Linked DNA regions of Elephas maximus indicus. The protein of the gene in region 2 interacts with the protein of the main gene of each other region in a biochemical or structural test. Links are inferred from orthologs where the notes say so. Each region holds a gene or a part of one and is shown on either strand. Other genes may lie near its edges.

Evidence for each region.
Region 1: the proteins of LATS2 (region 2) and MOB1B form a complex in vitro, tested with the Homo sapiens proteins (2 studies listed by BioGRID). The link is inferred for Elephas maximus indicus from reciprocal best matches to the Homo sapiens genes LATS2 and MOB1B.

The regions. Positions count from the first base shown.
Region 1 is NC_064823.1:87,055,201-87,065,103, forward strand, and holds the start of MOB1B (MOB kinase activator 1B), read right to left. Parts: upstream 4,134-9,903; 5' UTR 3,835-4,133; coding exon 3,821-3,834; intron 3,295-3,820; exon of another isoform or gene 3,134-3,294; intron 1-3,133. UniProt on the Homo sapiens protein: Activator of LATS1/2 in the Hippo signaling pathway which plays a pivotal role in organ size control and tumor suppression by restricting proliferation and promoting apoptosis.
Region 2 is NC_064841.1:51,614,451-51,623,822, forward strand, and holds the start of LATS2 (serine/threonine-protein kinase LATS2), read right to left. Parts: upstream 3,838-9,372; 5' UTR 3,749-3,837; intron 1-3,748. UniProt on the Homo sapiens protein: Negative regulator of YAP1 in the Hippo signaling pathway that plays a pivotal role in organ size control and tumor suppression by restricting proliferation and promoting apoptosis.

The DNA.
Region 1 (9,903 bases), on a different chromosome or scaffold from region 2:
CTGAGTTACAAAAAGAAGACATCAGACACAGAGACATGCACACAGAGTGGCAAACAGATGTCATGAGAAGATTGCCAAGGAACCCAGGAATGCCCAGGGCTACAGACAAACAAGGAATCAACACTATTGAGGCTCTGATTTGGACTTTTAACCTCCAGAACTATGAGAATATAAATTTCTGTTCTCTAAAGCCACCCACTTGTAGTATTTCTGATACAGCAGCACTAGGTAATTAAGACACTCTCTGTACCAGTTTCTTCATCTATAAAATGTGGTTCCTGGTAGTTACTAAACTGAGTTAATTATTTCAAGCACTTAGTGCTTGGCACCTAGTAAGCACTCAGCAAACTATAATTATTATTACGATAACTATTAATTTTTTTTACAGGTGAGGATGCTTAAGTACTAAAACCAAAAACCCATTCCTGTTAAGTTGATTACAACTCACAGCGACCCCATGTGTTACAGAGTAGAACTACTTCATAGGGTTTTCCTGGCTGTAATCTTTACAGGGAAACCCTGGTGGCATAGTGGTTAAGAGCTACAGCTACTAACTACAAGGTTGGCAATTCGAATCTACCAGGCGCTCCTTGGAAACCCGATGGGGCAGTTCTACCGGGTACTATAGGGTCACTCACTATGAGTCAGAATAGCAGATTTGGACTTTTTTGGTAATCTTTACAGAAACAGATCTTCAGGTCTTTTTTCCAGGCTGCCATGGGCGGGGGTGGTGGGGAGGGTAGTTCAAACCACCAGTTTTTAGGTTAGTAGCTAAGCAGTCAAATGGTAACCATTTGTGCCACCCAGAGCTGAAGTACTAAAATCAGTTAAATCATTGCCTGACAACAAAGACAGTACGTATTGTTTGTTTGTGGGTTTGGTTTTTTTTTGCAAGCAAGATTGTATCATGTGCATATCGCAGGTTGTTAATAAGTCTTCCACCAATCCTGATACTGTATTCTTCTTCATAAAGTCCAGCTTCTCAGATTATTCCATGGATTACAACCTCCTAATAAGGAGTCACGGGTTAGTGCAAGCTCTTAAACACGCAAAGCTGCTAACTAAATGTTTCAGGTTCAAGTCCACCCAGAGGTTCCTCAGAAGAAGGACGTGGTTCTACTTCCAAAAAACCAGCCATTGAAAACCTATGGAGAACAGTTCTACTCTGACACACATGGGATCACCATGAGTTGGAATCAACTTGACGGCAACTGGTTTTACCATATATATAATTTACTGATGTTTAGAGTTTATGGTTCCTTACTAGAACTAGGCCAGGTATTTTTGTCTGTTTTATTCATTAATGATAGCCAGTGCCTAGATCAGTGCCTGGCACAATGAATAATTTCAAATTCTTTCCATTTCTTACAGCCCTCATGAGTCACGAATCATCACTTTCTGAACCCTATCTCACATTGCCCTTATTTCCTCTGTTCCATCCACTTAGAGTAGCCTTCTAAGTAGGCTTCCAAGAACTGGAGGAAAATATTTTTACTTAACTCCGAAACTGTAACTCTTCCTTTCTCTACTCATCTTTTAGTATAGAAATAGTATTCAGGAAACTATACCAAATGACAAACAGATAAAATAATCAAAACTTTCCCCTTTCACTTCCAATACTGATCTACACAGTCTTCCCTTTAGATTTTAAGCTACTGGTAGACAAACACTAAATCTAAAAATGTCTGATTAACTTTTTGTATTGTGTAGCACATGGATGGGCTAAATGTCGCGAATACTCTAAATGCTATGTGACCTGACTGAAAAGTTGTGCCTCAAAGAGTGCAAACCCCCTAATGTGCTATATACATCAGTTATGGCAAGATTTTTCTTACATAGCTAATGTGCTTCAGGAAAAAGGGAACTTATCCATGCCATTTCTGAATCTATAAACATCGAGCCATGTAAAAATAGGAACCTATTGTATTTGTATTCAGAAAATAGTACCAGGACCTTCTCCACCCTTTATTTCCAGCCAAATATGGCTCTTCCCAGCTTGGACAAATTTAGCTTATGAGTTCCAAGAGACTCAAGCCCACCAACAGCAGCCACTGACATCATCTACATTACTATTTCCAATACAGTTTTTTAAATCTTGAAAAGAATCAAACATCAGCAATATAAAATTATACTCAAGCTTCAAGCTGAGATGCCTGTACACGTCGATTCAAACTAAAACTGGAAACAAAGACTTCTTTAAAGTCACTCAGTCCTCTCATCTAGCACTATTCCAATCTGACAAACTCAAAATCAACTTCTAGGATGAGCCTAACAAAGGGGTTTCATAAGATTAAACACATTAGGCAGGTTGACACCAGCCAGGGGCCAGGCCCCCTGTGCTTTTTAGAAATATTGGCAAGTCCTGGTGGTCAGCCTTCTGTGACAGCTCAATTTTGCTTACATGCACTAAAAAAAATTTCCAGATTTGTGAAAATTAGTGTGGGTTGAAGTGTCAGGATTCAAATGCCAATTTGATAACTCAATATTACAGGAAGTGGGGGAAAAAAAAAATCGGACCAGAAGGTAATTTTTAAATGCTATTTTCTCCACGACTCTAAAGGAGAGTTTGGGGTGGGTTTCAACCTCCAGATTTTAATGAGTTTTCCAGGCAAAACAAAGCTGTCAAAAGAGGAATTCCTCAGGGTGTAATTCCCTGTTTTAGGATGACTGGAAGCTTGTACTTTGCCTCCATAACTCCATCTGGTCATTCCATCTTACTGCCCTTCCCCTCTCAAATTCCTCTGAAATAAACAATAAGTGAAATAATGACAAGCACTAAATAATGACAAGCACTAAACGTGATGCTAAAGTTGGCCTTTACAAATGACTTGCAAAACAACTCTCCAGTGGACCTAATCAACCTAGGGCACGCTACCCACCAGACAGTATTTGGTGGTTGTCTGAAAGAATAAAAGCCCGTACTCTTCAGGGAAGCACACTGAGAGAAAGGGTGCCTAGGGAAAGCAAAAAGCTGCTCCAGATTCTTGCCCCCAGGACCCCCAGCTGCCATCAGGAGATACTGAGCAGCAAGCAGCCTCACTTCAGTGTTAACATCCACAGGACTTGTCTCCCCAACTTCTCGCCCCCTAAGAACCAAACCCAATCCACTGCCGTCCAGTCGATTCTGACTCACAGCAACTTAGAACTGCCCCCACAGGGTTTCCAAGGCTATAATCTTTATGCAAGCTGACTGCCACATCTTTCTCCCGCGGAGCAGCTGGTAGATTCCAACCGCTGACCTTCTGGTCAGCAGCCGTGCGCGTAACCACTGCGCCACTAGGGCTCCTTTAAGACCTTTAAAAAAAAGGGGGGGGGGGAATTAAAAGAGTCCTGGAGCGACGGGAAAAGTACGAAGCTTTATCTCAGTGCATGACAATCAGAAAAAATTGGCAGCCCGGACGGGCACAGCGGACCCGCAAGCGCTGGATACGGGTCACGCGGAAGAGTGGGAGGTAGCTATGAAGAGCGTACACACAAACAAACCCGGGGATAAGTACGAAGGGAGAGGTTGAGGTGATGGGAGAAACCCGGGAGCAGGGAGAGGCGTGTATCGGGACCTTGGGGTCCGGGGAGCAAAGCCTCGTTAGGGGTTGGAGGAGTCCACGCGCGCTCGAAGAGCGCTGGGCAGGAGGCGACGGTCCGGCAGCGTCAGCGTTCCCGGCAGGTTCCCGGAGCCCTGCTCGGTGGAAACGCCCGCCCGGGCAGCAAGGACCGAGGCGGCCCGCATCCGGCACGGCCGGACCGAGCGGGGCAGCGGGTGCGGGGCCGGCGGCCCAGATCGCGCCCGAACAAAGCCGGGGCTCGGGACCTGGCTACTCACAACAAGAAGCTCATGTCGGCTGCGGCGTGGGCTGCAGGCTCAGCGGTCGCGGGGCCTCGGGGCGGCAGCGGCGGCGGCTGCCAGGGAAGAGGAGAGGCGGGAGGGAGAAGGAGGAGGGGTGCGCCGGCTGCTCCTCGGCAGCAACTTGTTCGGCTTCGCTAGTTCCAATGGCAGGCAGAGGGGGCGGAAGTGGGAAGCGCACGGCTCGAATCTCTCAGTGGGAGGGGAAGGAAAGGTAGGCGGGGCAAGGGCAGCCAGCCAGCTCCTCCGAGAACGCGAAGCTACCGCCGCGCCTCTCCCCCAACCATGCCGCAAGTCCTGCTCCCCAGCCCCCTGCCACCCCCGATTCCGCCAGCTCTCGCGAGAGCGGCGCGCTCCCAACCCGCCCCTCTGGCTGCGGCTAAGGGTGCCCTCACCTCTAGTCACCTTTGCAGCCAGAAACCACGCTTGGCGAGTGCCTCGGGATCCCGGGTTCACTGAGGCCTATCCATCCGGTTGGGGGTCCCGGCAGAACGCTCCGGGCTGCTGTGCTGGGTTTCAGCGGTCAGGGAGGAAGTGGGCTTCAGATCCAGGATGTCAGGGCCTTGCAGTGAGGGGTGGAATTGCCACCAGAGTTCCATCCATCGTGCCCAGCAAGGGACGATGAAAGGTTATGGAAACTCTTTCTCTGCTAGTATTTAAAAATAGGATGGAGTTTCATCTGGTTGAAATGGTTTGGGTGTGGCTCTACCACGGGAGAGGAAAGGGACTAATTTTCAACATCTTGGTCGTTTTGTAGGTATATTTTAAAACCCTGAACTAGGAGGAGGTCAAGGTCCATCATCACTGTCTGAACTGGCAAGCTAGACTGTCTTCAAAACTGGGAAAACTGAAGGCGCCAAGGGGGAGAGCTGAGGCCAGTTCATCATGGGTCCCAGCGTGGTAGGCTGATCAGCAATGGCAATAATGATTACGCATGTATGGGCTGACGTCAGTTACAACCGCTGGACACTCATGCACAAAACGTTGTAGAGGCGAGAAAGCACCAGAAAGCACCAGTCCCCCTTACGGAGAGCCTTTCATTCTCACATGGTTAAGGGGCATGGGGCAAATCTTTATATATTTAAGAATGGCCCACATTCCTTGAACGAGTCACCATAGCATTATCAATTGCTAGGAAAATATGTTGTTGTTAGCCGTTGAGTCGGTTCAGTCTCATAGTGACCCTATGTACAACAGAAGGAAACCCTGCCCTGAGGAATCCTCACAATTGTTATGCTTCAGCCCATTGCTGCAGCCACTGTGTCAATCCATCTATTGAGGGTCGTTTTCATTTTCACTGACCCTCCACTTTACCAAGCATAATGTCCTTCTCCAGGGACTGATCCCTCCTGATAACATGTCCAAAGTATGTGAGTACATACTCTCACTATCCTTGCTTCTAAGGAGCATTTTGGCTGTACTTCTTCCAAGACAGATTTTTTCCGGGGGGGGGGGGGGGGCTGGGAGGGTGGAGGGTGGGAGGTGTGGGGGGAGTATTTTACACAAGAAGTGTCCCTGTTCTTTACTCACAACATCATCAAATCTACAAGTAAGCTTTCAAAGAACCAGGACAAAAATTAGTGTTCAGATATTTGGAGCCCTGGTGGTGCAGTGGTTAAGAGCTACGGTGAGCTATGTCTGCTAACCAAAAGGCTGGGCAGTTCAAATCTTCCATCTGCTCCTTGGAAACTTTTTGGGGCCGTTCCACCCTGTCGAGTAGGGTCACTATGAGTCAGAATTGACTGGATGACAACGGGTTTAGTTTTTTTGGTTTTTGGCATATCATCACAAAGGGCATAGTAGATTTCAAGGGGGTGCAAATTTGAAATTTATTTGATTGGCAATGCACCTCGTGTGCAATCACCAGCCATCTGTCAGTGGAGGCTTCCATGTTGTTGTGATCCTGAACAGATTTCAGCAGAGCTTCCAAATTAAGATGGATTAAGAAGAAAGGCATTGCTATCTACTTCTGAAAGTCAGCCAATGAAAACCCTGTGGATCATAATGGTCAAATCCACAAATGATCATAGGTTTGCCACAGGGCAGAGCGGTGTATCCTTCCACTGTGCATGTGGTTCCCGTGAGTCAGGGGCTGACTCCACGGCAGCTAACAACATTGTGCATTATTAGCTTGGCACTTGGTAAGGCAAGACATTAAAAAATATATAAAATATTGGAATCTTGACACTTACCTAAGGACCGGCAGAGGGTTACTGGAATATTTTGGGAAGACTTCAAGACTCAAAAGATGCAGAAAACAAGGGAAGAGAAGAAGGATTTATCTTAATATGATGAATGTAATGGATTTTTGATATATAAGCCCTCAGTTCTGGATCTTGATATGAAAACTAGCATGCTATATAATTCCTTATGGTTCTTTTGAAGACTTGAATTACCAGAATTCTCAGAAATTATTTGAGAAGAGCAAATCAATTAATCTGTCAGAACCTCAGTTCTACCTCCTTTAAAACGAAGGCATCAGATTATTACATGATCTGTAAAATATCTTCCAGTTCTAAAATTTTGTCATGCCAGGGGCATTCTTCAAATGACTGGCACACAATGCCCAACTCTTCCCTGATTTGATAGGCTGGCTTAAGTAACCTAACTTTTTGTCTGACACAGCTTAGGTGACTCCTATGACACTGAATCAGGAGAAAGATTGGCAGAGGAGAGAATCTGCAAAAACACCTGCTAAGAAGAGTTGTCTGGATTTAACAGCTGACATATATATATATATATATATACACACACCAAACCCACTGCCACTGAGTGACTTCCAACTCATAGCGACCCTACAGGACAGAGTAGAACTGCCCCATCTGGTTTCCAAGGAGCGCCTGGTGGATTTAAACTGCCAACCATTTGGTTAGCACTGTAGCTCTTAACCACTATGTCAAAAGGGTTTCCATATGTATATATAGATGGATGGATGGATGGAAATACATACAAAAAATATATATACATGTATATAAATGTGTGTATATATATATATATATAGAAACCCTGGTGGCGTAGTGGTTAAGTGCTACAGCTGCTAACCAAAGGGTCGGCAGTTCGAATCCACCAGGCGCTCCTTGGAAACTCTATGGGGAAGTTCTACTCTGTCCTATAGGGTCGCTATGAGTCAGAATCGACTCGACGGTACTGGGTTAGGTTACACACATTTTTCCTCTCTGTCAAGGTTAAGATTTCTACCACCTTAAAGAAGATGATAGTACTTTTGTTCAGATAAATTAATCACTTCCTAGGTACTGATTAATACGTGACCTTTCCTGAATGAAGTAATACTAGTTATAGCCAGTCAATAAGGGGAAATTTCTCCTTATAGAAGTATTTCAGATTAAAAAATGAAGTAGAAACGATTGAATTATTATTTAGACTTTTGCAACCTAATAGATTAATAGATCTAGGCATTGATCAACAGCTGCTAATATCATAGTAAGAGCAAGGACCAGACTTTATGTACCTCCTGATGAAGGAGTACATAAGCACCTATGAAGAAGTCTTGCACACAAAAAAATAGAACCCGATGAAGCCTTTAGATCCAGTTACAGAAAACAGAAGAATGTGTAAGAAAGCATGTTAAGTGACACCACATGGATTCAATCAGCAAAATCTAAACTGTGAGGAAACTATCCAAGGCCTGATTTCTTCAGCAAACGAATTGCAAGGAAAAAATAGAACTGGAAGAAAAACCTAGAGATTGAAAGAGACATAGGAGACATATCAACCAATTGCAATGTGTGAACCTCATTTGGATCCTGATTCAAACAAGCAGCCTGAAAAACAACCATAAATGTTTATGTCATTTATGATATAACTGGAAATTTGAACACTGATTGGATATTTGATAACAATAAGGATTTTTTGTGAATTGTGGTAATGATGTGGTTGTGTTTTTTCTTAAAAGAGACTTTATGTTTTAGAAATATGTACCAAAATGATTTAGAGATGAAATAATTATGTCAGATTTGCTTTAAAATAACATGGGAGAGGGAAATGGACAGAAGTATAGACGAAACAAGACTGGCCGCAAGTTGATAACTGTTGAAGCCAGATGATGAGTATGGAGGCTGGGGGTAGCCACGGTACCGTTCTATTTTTGTTTAGTTTTTAAATCTTCTGTAATAAATAGACAAACAAAAATGGGTCTCCTTTTGAAAAGGCCTAGAAAAAGTGCTAAAATTGATGGGCTTTAAGAAGAGCTGATATGGAAGATAACGTTTTGGACTAGAGGGTTCTTTCCTTGTGCTCACATTATGCAGCTTATTTTGTTGTTGTAAAGATTTACCAATTCAAGGTTTTTCACGTGTACAATTTAGAAACAATAATTACATTAATCACCTTGCGCAACTGTCACCAATACCTGTTGAGGCAGATTTTTCTGTCTAATATATAAAGATGTTCTTTCACCTGTAAGGCTAAAACAGATGTTATCGATGCTAGAGCGGAGAAATGCTGAGTTCAAACCCTGTGCCTTAGTACGTGCATTAGTATTTCTTAAGCAGCTGTGATCTGACTCTGGAAGAATAGATTCCTGAACAACAAATGCTAGAAAAGCTATACCTGGGCAACAAATCCTTAGTGACTCAGTGAAGTGTACTCTGTTGTGTAGGAGTGTTTTGATTGTATAATACTTAAATTGACATGCTAAGTATTTCACCTAATTGGTTCAACTACATAAGATTGTTTTTATGTGTGTTTTTATAGCTACCATTTATTGACTTTCTTATGGGACAATCACTCTGCTAAACTTCTTCTATTTTATGTTTATTTCATTTTTTCCTTACACTGTCCCATGAGGTTGGTATTAGGTATTACAGTAAGTCCCTGGGTTATAAAAGTCCAAGTTAAGGACAACTTCTTGTACTTACCCTTTAAAAAAAAAAAAAAAATTTTTTTAATGTAAATTTGTCCTCACTTTAAAACAATTGAACCAACCCCTACTCACAGCAAATTCATCACAATCACCTTTACTTGCTGTAAGTGCGGCTTTTAAATCATTGGAAAGGCTTTGAGCTTTTTCTTGCGCTAAAACCAAAAAAAACCAAACCCATTGCCTTTGAGTCGATTGCGATTTCTTGCACTAAAAAACAAACCCACTGTCTTCGAGTAGATTCTGACTCATAGCGACCCTATAGGACAGAGTAGAACTGCCCCATAGAGTTTCCAAGGAGCGCCTGGTGGATTTGAACTGCTGACTTTTTGGTTAGCAGCTGTTGCCCTTAACAATTAAGCCACCAGGGATTCCTCTTACATTAAAGTAAAGTTAAATAATAACTGTATCTACCTGTTCTGACTTACCTACAAATTATTGAAGACACACGCAGGAACGGATCTCCTTCCTATTCCAGGGAGTGCCTGTATTTCCCCCATTTTATAGATAAGGAAACCAATGCTGAGAGGTTAAGTAACTTGCTCGAGATCACACAGCTAGTAAATATAATCTTAATTCAGGAAAATCAGTTTTCCCTTCCAAGATGGCCTAAATTAGCCTGGATATATTCTAAGTGAATTTTGGCATGCTACACAATCCCACTTAACACAGCTAATAATTCAGCCTGACTCTATCAATGCTCTGTAGGTTTTAATTCTATGTCATTTGTACATAAAAACTTCTCAAGGACATATTCATTTGATACAACAGAAAAGTGTGGAAACATGAAAGGTTGGTTTAATGAAGGCTGGCATCTTTCAGTGCATTCATTTTTCACTAAAACTCATAAACCTTCTTAGGGGAAGTGAGCACAACTTGACCAAGGCAAAGTCATAGAAGCTTCCTGACACATCCAAACACCTTGATGGACTGAGTTACCGGCCTGAGGGCTGGGGACCGTGGTCTTGGGGGACATCTAGGTTGACTGGAATAACATAGTTCATAAAGACAATGTTCTATGTCCTACTTTTGTGAGTAGATTCTAGGGTCTTAAAAGCCTAGAATCTAAGAGGCCATCTAGGATACATCCATTGGTCTCATACTGTCTAGAGCAAAAGAGAATGAAGAACACCAAGGACGCAAGGAAAATATCACATAAACCACAGCCTCCACCAGCCTAAGC
Region 2 (9,372 bases):
CACATCCTATTAGACAGCTTTGTACATGTTATTCATGCAATATATTTGTACACAAATATGAATAATGGCATAACAAAAAGAAGCCACAGAAGTCTGCACTCAAGATATCCAAATGGAGCGACCAGGTTACTGATAAATTTGTCAGTTCTTTCTGGCATTTCTAGTTAAAAAAGCAAAACAGCAAACAACTGAACAGGATGAGTCTCCTTATATTCAATTCCATACTCCAACAGGGATTCTCAATCTTTGAGAAAGCGCTGCCTCCTCTGCACCCAGCCCCCTCCCAAGTTTCAGCTATCGCATACTAAGGAGTATGACTCCCAGGCCATTTCAGAATCACTGCCCTAAGGAAAGGTAATACTGCTGCTGCCCAAAGATCCCAGTGTATGTGTCTATCGCTATGGAGGAACAATGCTTCAGGCAGGTGTTCAAATTATGTGGAGAAAGCCTCCTCAAGAAAGGAAAGTTTCACCAATATTGGAAAGGCTACGATTTGATGGACGAAGTATGAAGCTATTCTTGGAGTCTAGAACTTCCTGTGAAAAGGCTTACACATAGAAAAGAAAGATGAGCAGCAATGTTGAGGAGGTGCAGGTGTTACTGGATACATTTACTGAAAAAATAGACTTGAGGCTAGTGAGGTACTATGCAGTAAATTAGTAAAAGAATGTGTTGGTCCTTAGCATTCCTATTCAAGATAACTGCCTGGAGGCAGTGAGGCCCAATACTCCAGAGGCCCCCTCCATTCAAATTCCAACTTACATTGTTAAGATCCTTACCATCCTGATTTTGGGGCTATGAGACTTGCATTATGCCTCAATATCTTCACAATCAGCATTAATAAATACAAACCACAGCTACAAAATAGGAGATTTTTCACTTTTCCTCCAGAAAAATTCCTGTCAAATACTGACATATGAACAAAAAGAGTATCGTCTTTTAATATTCTTTTTAATAAACTAAAAAAAAAAACACTGGTCATAATTCAGCTGACTTGTTCTAGATAGTAACCAACACAAAGTCTTCATATGGTAAACGGTAAACATTAAGGAATGCTAAATTTCCATCCTAATTTTAGCATCATAACCAATATCTTTATTTTCAACATTATCTTGTTTTACTGATACTTCCAAAATGACACTGTATATCAAATACCCTTAAAAATACCGGAAAAACAACTAACACTAAATGAAATCTTCACAAAAGACACCATTCACATGGTACTCCATGTAAATGGACCCCATTACACAAAGCACCATTTACTTAGCATTCAATGGGAACGGTGCCCCCTGGAGTTGTACAATTTGCCTGCCCAGCTCTATCCAGACAATTTACTAATCAACGTTGTTGTTGTTAGTTGTCATGGAGTCAACAGATTTTTTAAAAAGAAAAAAAAAAAGATGAAGGAGACCAAATTCTTCTATTATCAAGTGCAATCTTTTCAGACCATGGATGAGAATATTTTGCTCCTTTTTTTTTTAAGATTTACAGTCAAGACAAAGTAAACTTATCCTCTGTATTTTTACAAACCCACTATTTAAAAAGTCAATAAGGTATCTATTAGTCAGAAGTTTCACATTATTATTACTGTGAAATAAAATATAAAAGCAGCTTTTCAAAAACTGAGTTGGTCTGGTTTTTCTAATACAACACAGAACATTCCACCACCACTCCCAAAAGCTTCCCAAAACCCTATTCCACTTTCTGTGTGTTTACAGTGAATTTATCAGCTTCCTCTTGCCCTCTATGGGACCCAAGGCTGGCTATTCACAACTCAGCATTTAAAATAACAAGGCATCCTATTGTAAAAGCATTCCCCTCCCACCAAAGGAAAGGCCCTCCCACCAACCCCTTGATTTGCTAAGAAATATGTACAATTTCAATTCCCACTTAAGTTAAAACCATTTCAAACTAGTTGAAGAGGCTAAAGGAATCCCTTTCAGTTTTAAAATCTATGACTCTAATAATTCACCTTAATAATTTTGCATGATATCCTCCACTCAAACATCATTTCAAAATTGCTGGACATTTTCAGATTTATTAAACGTTCAGCAGTTTAATTTCAAAGGCATGCTGGCACAGTCATTAAACAGTGCTCCATAGGCCTGGATAATGAAACAAAATTTTATGAGACTGAACATTGTATCTTGTTAATTATTGTTAATTTAAAACAGACTTTAACAGTCTCTGCATTCTTATTTTGGAAGATTTATCTGGTACTAACTCATTACAGCAGTCCCTGAAGAAAAAACTTAAAAGATACAATGAAGCTTAGTCTCTTGATTAAGAATGGTGATCCATCATGCTGACGCTTATGCAGAGATTAAACTGAAAACACAGAGCAAGATCTATTTAGCACAAACATCCCAATAAGCCAGACACAAGCTACTTTCTCCATTACTAAGGAAAGACCCCTCATCTACTAAATTAAAATTTTAACCAGAACACCTGTACTCAGATCACACACACTTTGTGACTCTCCATTCAGATTTCAGTGTATTCAAGTTTCTTAGTAAAATGTGCTCAGAAACTTTCCTAAAAAGTGTGCCTATTTGCTGAATACTTTGTGAAGAGAGCTGTCCTGCTATTAATTTTAATTTCCACCTGCCAAATGTATTCTCCCTAGCTTAATAAAATAATTAACGCTAAATAATTTCAAAAAGCCTAGACAATAAGTATGTTAAGAACACTCATTTATCCTACAAAAATGTGAAAAATTTTCTTTTTTTGGTGAGTATAACAAAATATACAAGTATAGTGTACGTTCACGGTTATGTTTGCAAAAGAATACTTCCCACTCGAGGGCCTCAAGACCCGTCCCCGGCCTTACGTTCTCCTCGCCATGTTTTCGGGAAGCTGTCGCTCACCAAACCGGGTCACAAGGTGCCGGAAGGTGTGTTCTTCTGTCTGCCTCCGCCCGCCCCATGCGCACAGGCGACCGAGTCAACAGACCGAGGTTTGCTCCAGCGAGGCACTCCTGCCCAGCCCCGCTGTCCGGATCTCATCCCCCACGGAGATGCTCTTCCTTAAGTTTTCAAAGTCAGGAACGACAGAAAGTGACTGACAAAAATATGAATCACAGCCGAGCCCGCATCTCCAGAGCGTGGCCGGGAAGCTAGCTGACTGCATGTGATTTGCATTAGAGAAGTCGAGTCCCAGAAAAGTCGACTCAGCCGGGACGCAGGAAAGGCGTGTTATGCAACTGCCACCACTTTCACCGCCCCAAAGTGTTCCCGAAACTCGGACCGGGTCCTACGAACTCTAGGCGCTGGCTGAGAAAATCCAGAGCGCGCCCGCGCCGGCGCCCGCCCCTCACCCTACCCGTCCGGGGCCGCGGCCTGGGGGCGCGCGGGGATCGGCGCGCTGTCACGACTGCTCCCGGGACCGGCCGGCCCAGCGGCGGGCCGGCGCACAACAAAGCGCCGCGCACCGGGCCGCCGCCGCAGCCGCCGTACAAGCTCCGGCCCGGCCCGCCAACTTGCCCAAACTTCCGCTGCTCGCGGCCCGGAGCCCCCACGCGCGCCGCCAGCCGGGGCGGCTCCCCGACGCCTTCGCCCAGGCCGGGCTACGCGGGCCAGGGCGGAGGGTGACCTCGGTCCGGGGAGAGTCCCTTCGCTCTCACTCCCGCCCCTCGGTCAGGCCGTCCCCGGAACCCCAGCCGCGGCGGAGGGTGCGGAGGAGCCCGCGGCCAACTTTCCACGGGCGGCCCTTAGCCCGCCGGCCGCCGCCCGCCCCCGGCGTCTCTCACCTCCGGGCGCGGTCTAGGCTCGCGGGGCGGCCCCCACTCTCGGCTCTGTGGCCTCGCGGGCCGAGCGGCGGGGCACCCGAGGCCGGGGCCGCTGCGGGCCCCGCGGCGAAGGGGGCTCCACGGGCGGCGCGGGCGGCGGCGGCTCCATCGTCGGGCGCTAGCGCCGGGCTCCAGAGCGCACCCCAAGTGGGACATTCGCTACATTGTTGGCATTCCACGGGAGTCACGTGAGCCGCCGCCCGCGTCACTCCCGGCCGCATACCAGCCGGGCGGGGCCTGGCCCGGCGCGCTCCGACCGACGGACAGATGGACGGACGCCCGTCCGGGCCGCCCTCGCCCTTCCTGCCCCCGCCCGTCCGCCCTCCTGCCGGGCCCTCCATTGCCGAGGTTCGCAGTCACCCAGTGCCGTGAGTGCCGCGGCTTTCCAGGCTCCCAACGCCCTGCTCGGCGAAGCAAGTGAGTTAACAGGCCTGAATGAGCGGCGGAGGGAGCAAGAAGGCGCCAGCCTCTCAGATCAGAGCAGGAAGGGACAGAGAGCTGATAGGACCATGGAACCGAGGACTAGAGGAGGACGGCTGCCGGGTGCCTTCATACAGGCAGACCCCATCACTCCCCGAGCTTTTGCATTCTGTTTGTGAGACGTGTTTACGGCATGCAGAGCAGCACAGTGACATTCACCAACAAGTGAGAGGGTGGATGCGCACTGGGACCGTTATGGCCGTGGGTTTGGGACAGGACACAACGCAGGGTTGCGTCGAGGCGCTGTGGAAGTAAGGCTGGAAGTCAGATTCGGAATCCATTTCTGATGCGCCTTCACCTCCTAGCACACCTCCCACCACCTGCAGTGGTGAAAGTGATGGTGAGGGCTAATATACTTTTAAAAGGCAACCCAGTTTTCTCTGTAATAAACTCTTATGAGGTTTTTAAATTTTAATCTCCAGAGAAACAGTAATGAAGGTTATTATCTCTGAACTATTTTAACATCCTCACGAGCCTTCAGGTACTTGTTCTCCATTCTCCCAGCTTTTACTCTTTTTAATCCTACCGGGCTTTATGGCCTTAGCTCTTTAGGGAATCTCCTCAGAGCCGCCTCCTGGTTTCTCTGTTTGAGCTCTGATGTGTTAAGTCATCATCATGCAGCTTAGAATTCAATTTCATTTTTTAACCTCATACTGTACTTTACCCGCGGATCCTGCCCAGCATTGGAAACAAATGTTTCCAATGTAAGCTCTGGTGGCGCGGTTATTAAGAGCTCAGGCCGCTAACCAAAAAGGTCGCCTGTTCTAGTCCACCAACAGCTCGAATCCACCAGCCGCTCCTTGAAAACCCTGTGGGGCAGTTCTTCCTGTCTTATATGGTCGCTATGAGTCAGAATTATCCCATGGCAACGGCTTAGGGGTTTTGGTGGGTTGGTTGGTGGGTTGGTGTTCACCAAGAATATTATCTCTGTCTTTTCACTCATACCCTGATCATACTCCACCCCAATCCCAACCCACAGACTGGCTGCCTGGTTCCCACTGTTTAAAGGGCCTGCCCCTGCTCTGTTTTCAGAGGGGTAAACATAATTTAATAAAAAATTAAAAAAAAAAAACCTTTCATCAAATGAAATAATGTAAAGTAAAAGGAATTTAACTGACTCTTAAATCTGCATGTAAAATATCCTGTAAAAAAATTTGCAATTACGGTGACCATTATAGCATTGTTTGCAATAGTGAAAAATAGGCAACAATGCAAATTTCCAACAATAGAAAAACCAAAACCAACCCACTGCCATCGAGTGATTGATTACAACTCATAGCAACCCTATAGGATGGAGAACTGCCTCATAGAGTTTCCAAGGAGCGCCTGGCGGATTCGAACTGTTGACCTCTTGGTTAGCAGCAGTAGCACTTAACCACTAAGCCACCAGGGTTTCCATCCAACAGTAGGGGAGCCAGAAAATAAAGGGTGGGTATTCAAATGATGGAACATATACAGTAGCTAAGTGAATGGACTAGCCCTCTGTTTGTCAAAGAATAAATGATCGTGGATAGAATACAAAACCAGTTATGGAGTGAAACAAAAGTAGCAAAACTTTATATACACTATTGTACCACATTTATAAATAAAAAATCCCACAGAATCTACAGTCTACATACACTTTATGTAAATATAGACATGAACTGCAGGAGTACACACCGAATTTATGACAGCTGTTTTCTCTTCAGAGGGAGGGAGGGAAATGGAAGTGGGGAGAGAAAAATAGGGACTTCAATTTTATCTGCAATTCTTCATAGCTTTTTTTTTTTTTTAAATATGAAGCTAACCAGGAAAAAACCTTAAAATTTGTTGATTCTGGGTGGTGGGCTCACTAATATGTGCTATATTAAAAATAAATAAATAAATACTTTGTGCTTTTTTTTAACATTTAAATTTTTTTTTTTTTTTCAAAAATACAGATGGCTAGAAACTAGAGACAAATTGGAAACAAGTCAATTTCCAAGATAGAAAACTGGTTGCGGAAGCTATTCTACACCTATATGGGAAAATGTTGTGATTCATCATTTTGTGGATGTGTGATTATTGAAGTGGAGACATTCATTCCTTGGTTTTTTCTGAGTCCTGCTGTGAGCCTGCACTGGTGAACAAAACCTCATGATTTGTCCCCTGGTGGAACTTACAGTGTAGTAGATGTGCTCAAGGAAAAAGCATGTGACAAAATCGAGTGCAGTATCTAATCTTGTATAACGATTATATATATGTATGTGTGTGTATACGTATATATACATTTAAGTCCAGAAAAGTATACAGACGAATGTTAGATATAGTAGCTCCGGATGTAGTGATTCTGGGTGATTGTCTTATAATTCCTGATTACAACAGGATATTTAACAAAAAAAAAATTTTTAATTAAATAATCAGCTAAATAAGTACATCCATAAATATATCCAGCTGAGAAATAGGAAAAGGAGAGAGAGACCCTCATGGTTTAATGACCACAAGGCCAACTGAGCACAGAGCCTACACAAATTTCAAAGCCAAAGTCTATATAATATCTTAGGCATTGGTCTAAACTTACGTGTTATCTCATTTAATTCTCAAGACAACCATGTTATTAGCCTCATGTTATAGAAGAGGAAACTGGTGGCATAGTGGTTATGAGTTATGGCTGCTAAAAAGGTCAGCAGTTCAGATCTACGAGGCACTCCTTGGAAACTCTGTAGGATCGCTGTGAGTCGGAATTGACTTGGTGGTAATGGGTTTAGTTTTGGTTACAGAAGAGGACCCTGAAACACAGAGCCCAAGTCACTTGCCCAAGATCAAAGAGATGGGATTCAAACCTTGGTCATCAAACTCCAGAGCTCGGAAACACTAGTAGAAGGAAGGCTCTTTTCAAGGTGATCTCAAAAAGATATGATTACAGTGTGCTTATAAATAAGGAAACTGAAACCAAATTAACCCCCTCCTATGAGCCCTGGTGGCACAGTAGTTAAAAGGTCAGCTGCTTCCGTGGTCTCGGGGAACATCTAGCTCAACTGGTATAACATAGTTTATAAAGAAAATGTTCTGTGTTCTACTTGGGTGAGTAGTGTCTGGGGTCTTAAAAGCCTGAGTGGCCATCTAGGATACTCCACTGGTCTCACCCCTTTGGGAGCAAGGGAGAGATAAGAAAACTAAACATACAAGGGAAAGTTTAGTCCAAAGAACTAATGGACCACAGCTGCTACGGCCTCCACCAGACTGAGGCCAGTACTACTAGGTGCTGCCTGGCTACCACCACTGACTGCTCTGACAGGGATCAGAATAGAGGATCCCAGACAGAGCTGGAGAAAATTCTAACTCAAAAAGAAAGACCCGTCTTGCTGGCCTGATGGAGACTGGAGAAACCCTGAAAGTATGGCCCCTGGACACCCTTTCAGCTCAATAATGAAGCCACTCCCAAGGTTCACCCTTCAGCCAAAGATTAGACAGGGCTATAAAACAAAACAAGATTAAAGGGGCACAACAGCCCAGGGGCAGGGACTTGAAGGCAGGAGGGGACAGGAAAGCTGGTAATAGGGAACCAAGGTCAAGAAGGGAGAGTGTTGACATGTCATGGGGTTGTTAACCAATGTCATAAAACAATATGTGTACTAACTTTCCTGAGAAACTAGTTTGTTCTGTAAACCTTCATCTAAAGTACAATAAACAAGAAAAAAAGGTCAGCTGCTAACCAAAAGGTTGGCAGCTCAAATCCACCAGCTGCTCCTTGGAAACCCTACGGGCAGTTCCACTCTGTCCTATTGAGTCACTATGAGTCGGAATTGACTCGATGGCAACGAGTTTTATCTGTCTGAGGAAAGAGGAACGGCCTTTGTAGAGTGAGGTGGAGGGGTGCTCTAAGATGCCTGTCTCCAGCACCTACTAGGGCAGAGAGAGGCTGGGGACGGGCACAGCCGAGGGATCCGGTCACAGTCACAAGTGAGGCACCTACAGTTGTGGCTCCAAAACAGTTCAGGCTTCTCCCTGAGGCCCCTCTGGAATATCCCCCTGAAACCACCTACCCACTGCCTGCTCCTTCCCCGCCGCCCCTGGGCTATGAATGTAAGAAACTTAATTATCAACTCAGCCTCTTTATACTTCAGTACATGGAAAGCAGGGACTGGTTTTTAGATACAATTTTTGGTTTGGGGGCAGGGAGAGGCATCCTTATTTATAACCAGTATGGAGGAGACTTAGCAGATCTGCCTAGTTACAGAAGAATATTCTCCAGGACGAGTAGTGAAAAAGTAGAGTTGGATTATGAAAGCCCTAGAAAGCCAAGAAAATAATATCCTACACTGATTTAATTTGTTTTGGGGGTGTTTTATACCCATATAATTTGTCTCTAACTAGATTATAAATTCTTCAAGAACAGGACTATATTCTCCCCCAAAACTGTATAGCCTCTTAATTGCTAAATTGAATATATTGAATGAATTTTTAAAGGATACTTTGATATCTTAAATATAAAAATTCGTAATACCACCATATTTTTTTAATCAAGCTACTCTGGGCCAGCCAGGGAGATAGTCTGTTCCTTTGTTCTTTAGAGTTGTGGGTTGTGCATACTTACAGGACTTGCAGAGAAGAGTTAACAATATCACCCCCATTAGTTGGGGCTCTGTCTCAATGACAAAACTTTTTTTAGCATAATAAAAATGATTTAGATACCAGAGGAAAAGTCCAGTATTACATTTTTACATGTGCTGTCCAGTATTAAAATCATGAGAGTAAACTTTTCTCTAATTTTAATTTATTTCTAATTGCCTTACATTTAGCTATTTTGGAAATCAGAACTGCCTGAAAAATGTGGTGAAAACCTCTACTGCTTTATGTTAATTGTGGTGAAATAAGTTGGTGAAGAATAGTGATAGTGTTACACAACATGAAGAATGTAACCAAGTCACTGAAATCTATACATAGAAGTTGAATTGGTGAATATTTTGTTTTATATGTTTTCACCAAAAGGAAAAGAGAAAAAAAAAAAAAACTAGTGCTCTGGGTGGTGCAAACAGTTACACATTCAACTACTAGCTGAAAGGTTGGTGGTTTGAACCCACCCAGAGATGCCTCGAAAGACAAGCCTGGCAATCTGCTTCCAAAAAGTCCCAGCCTTGAAAACT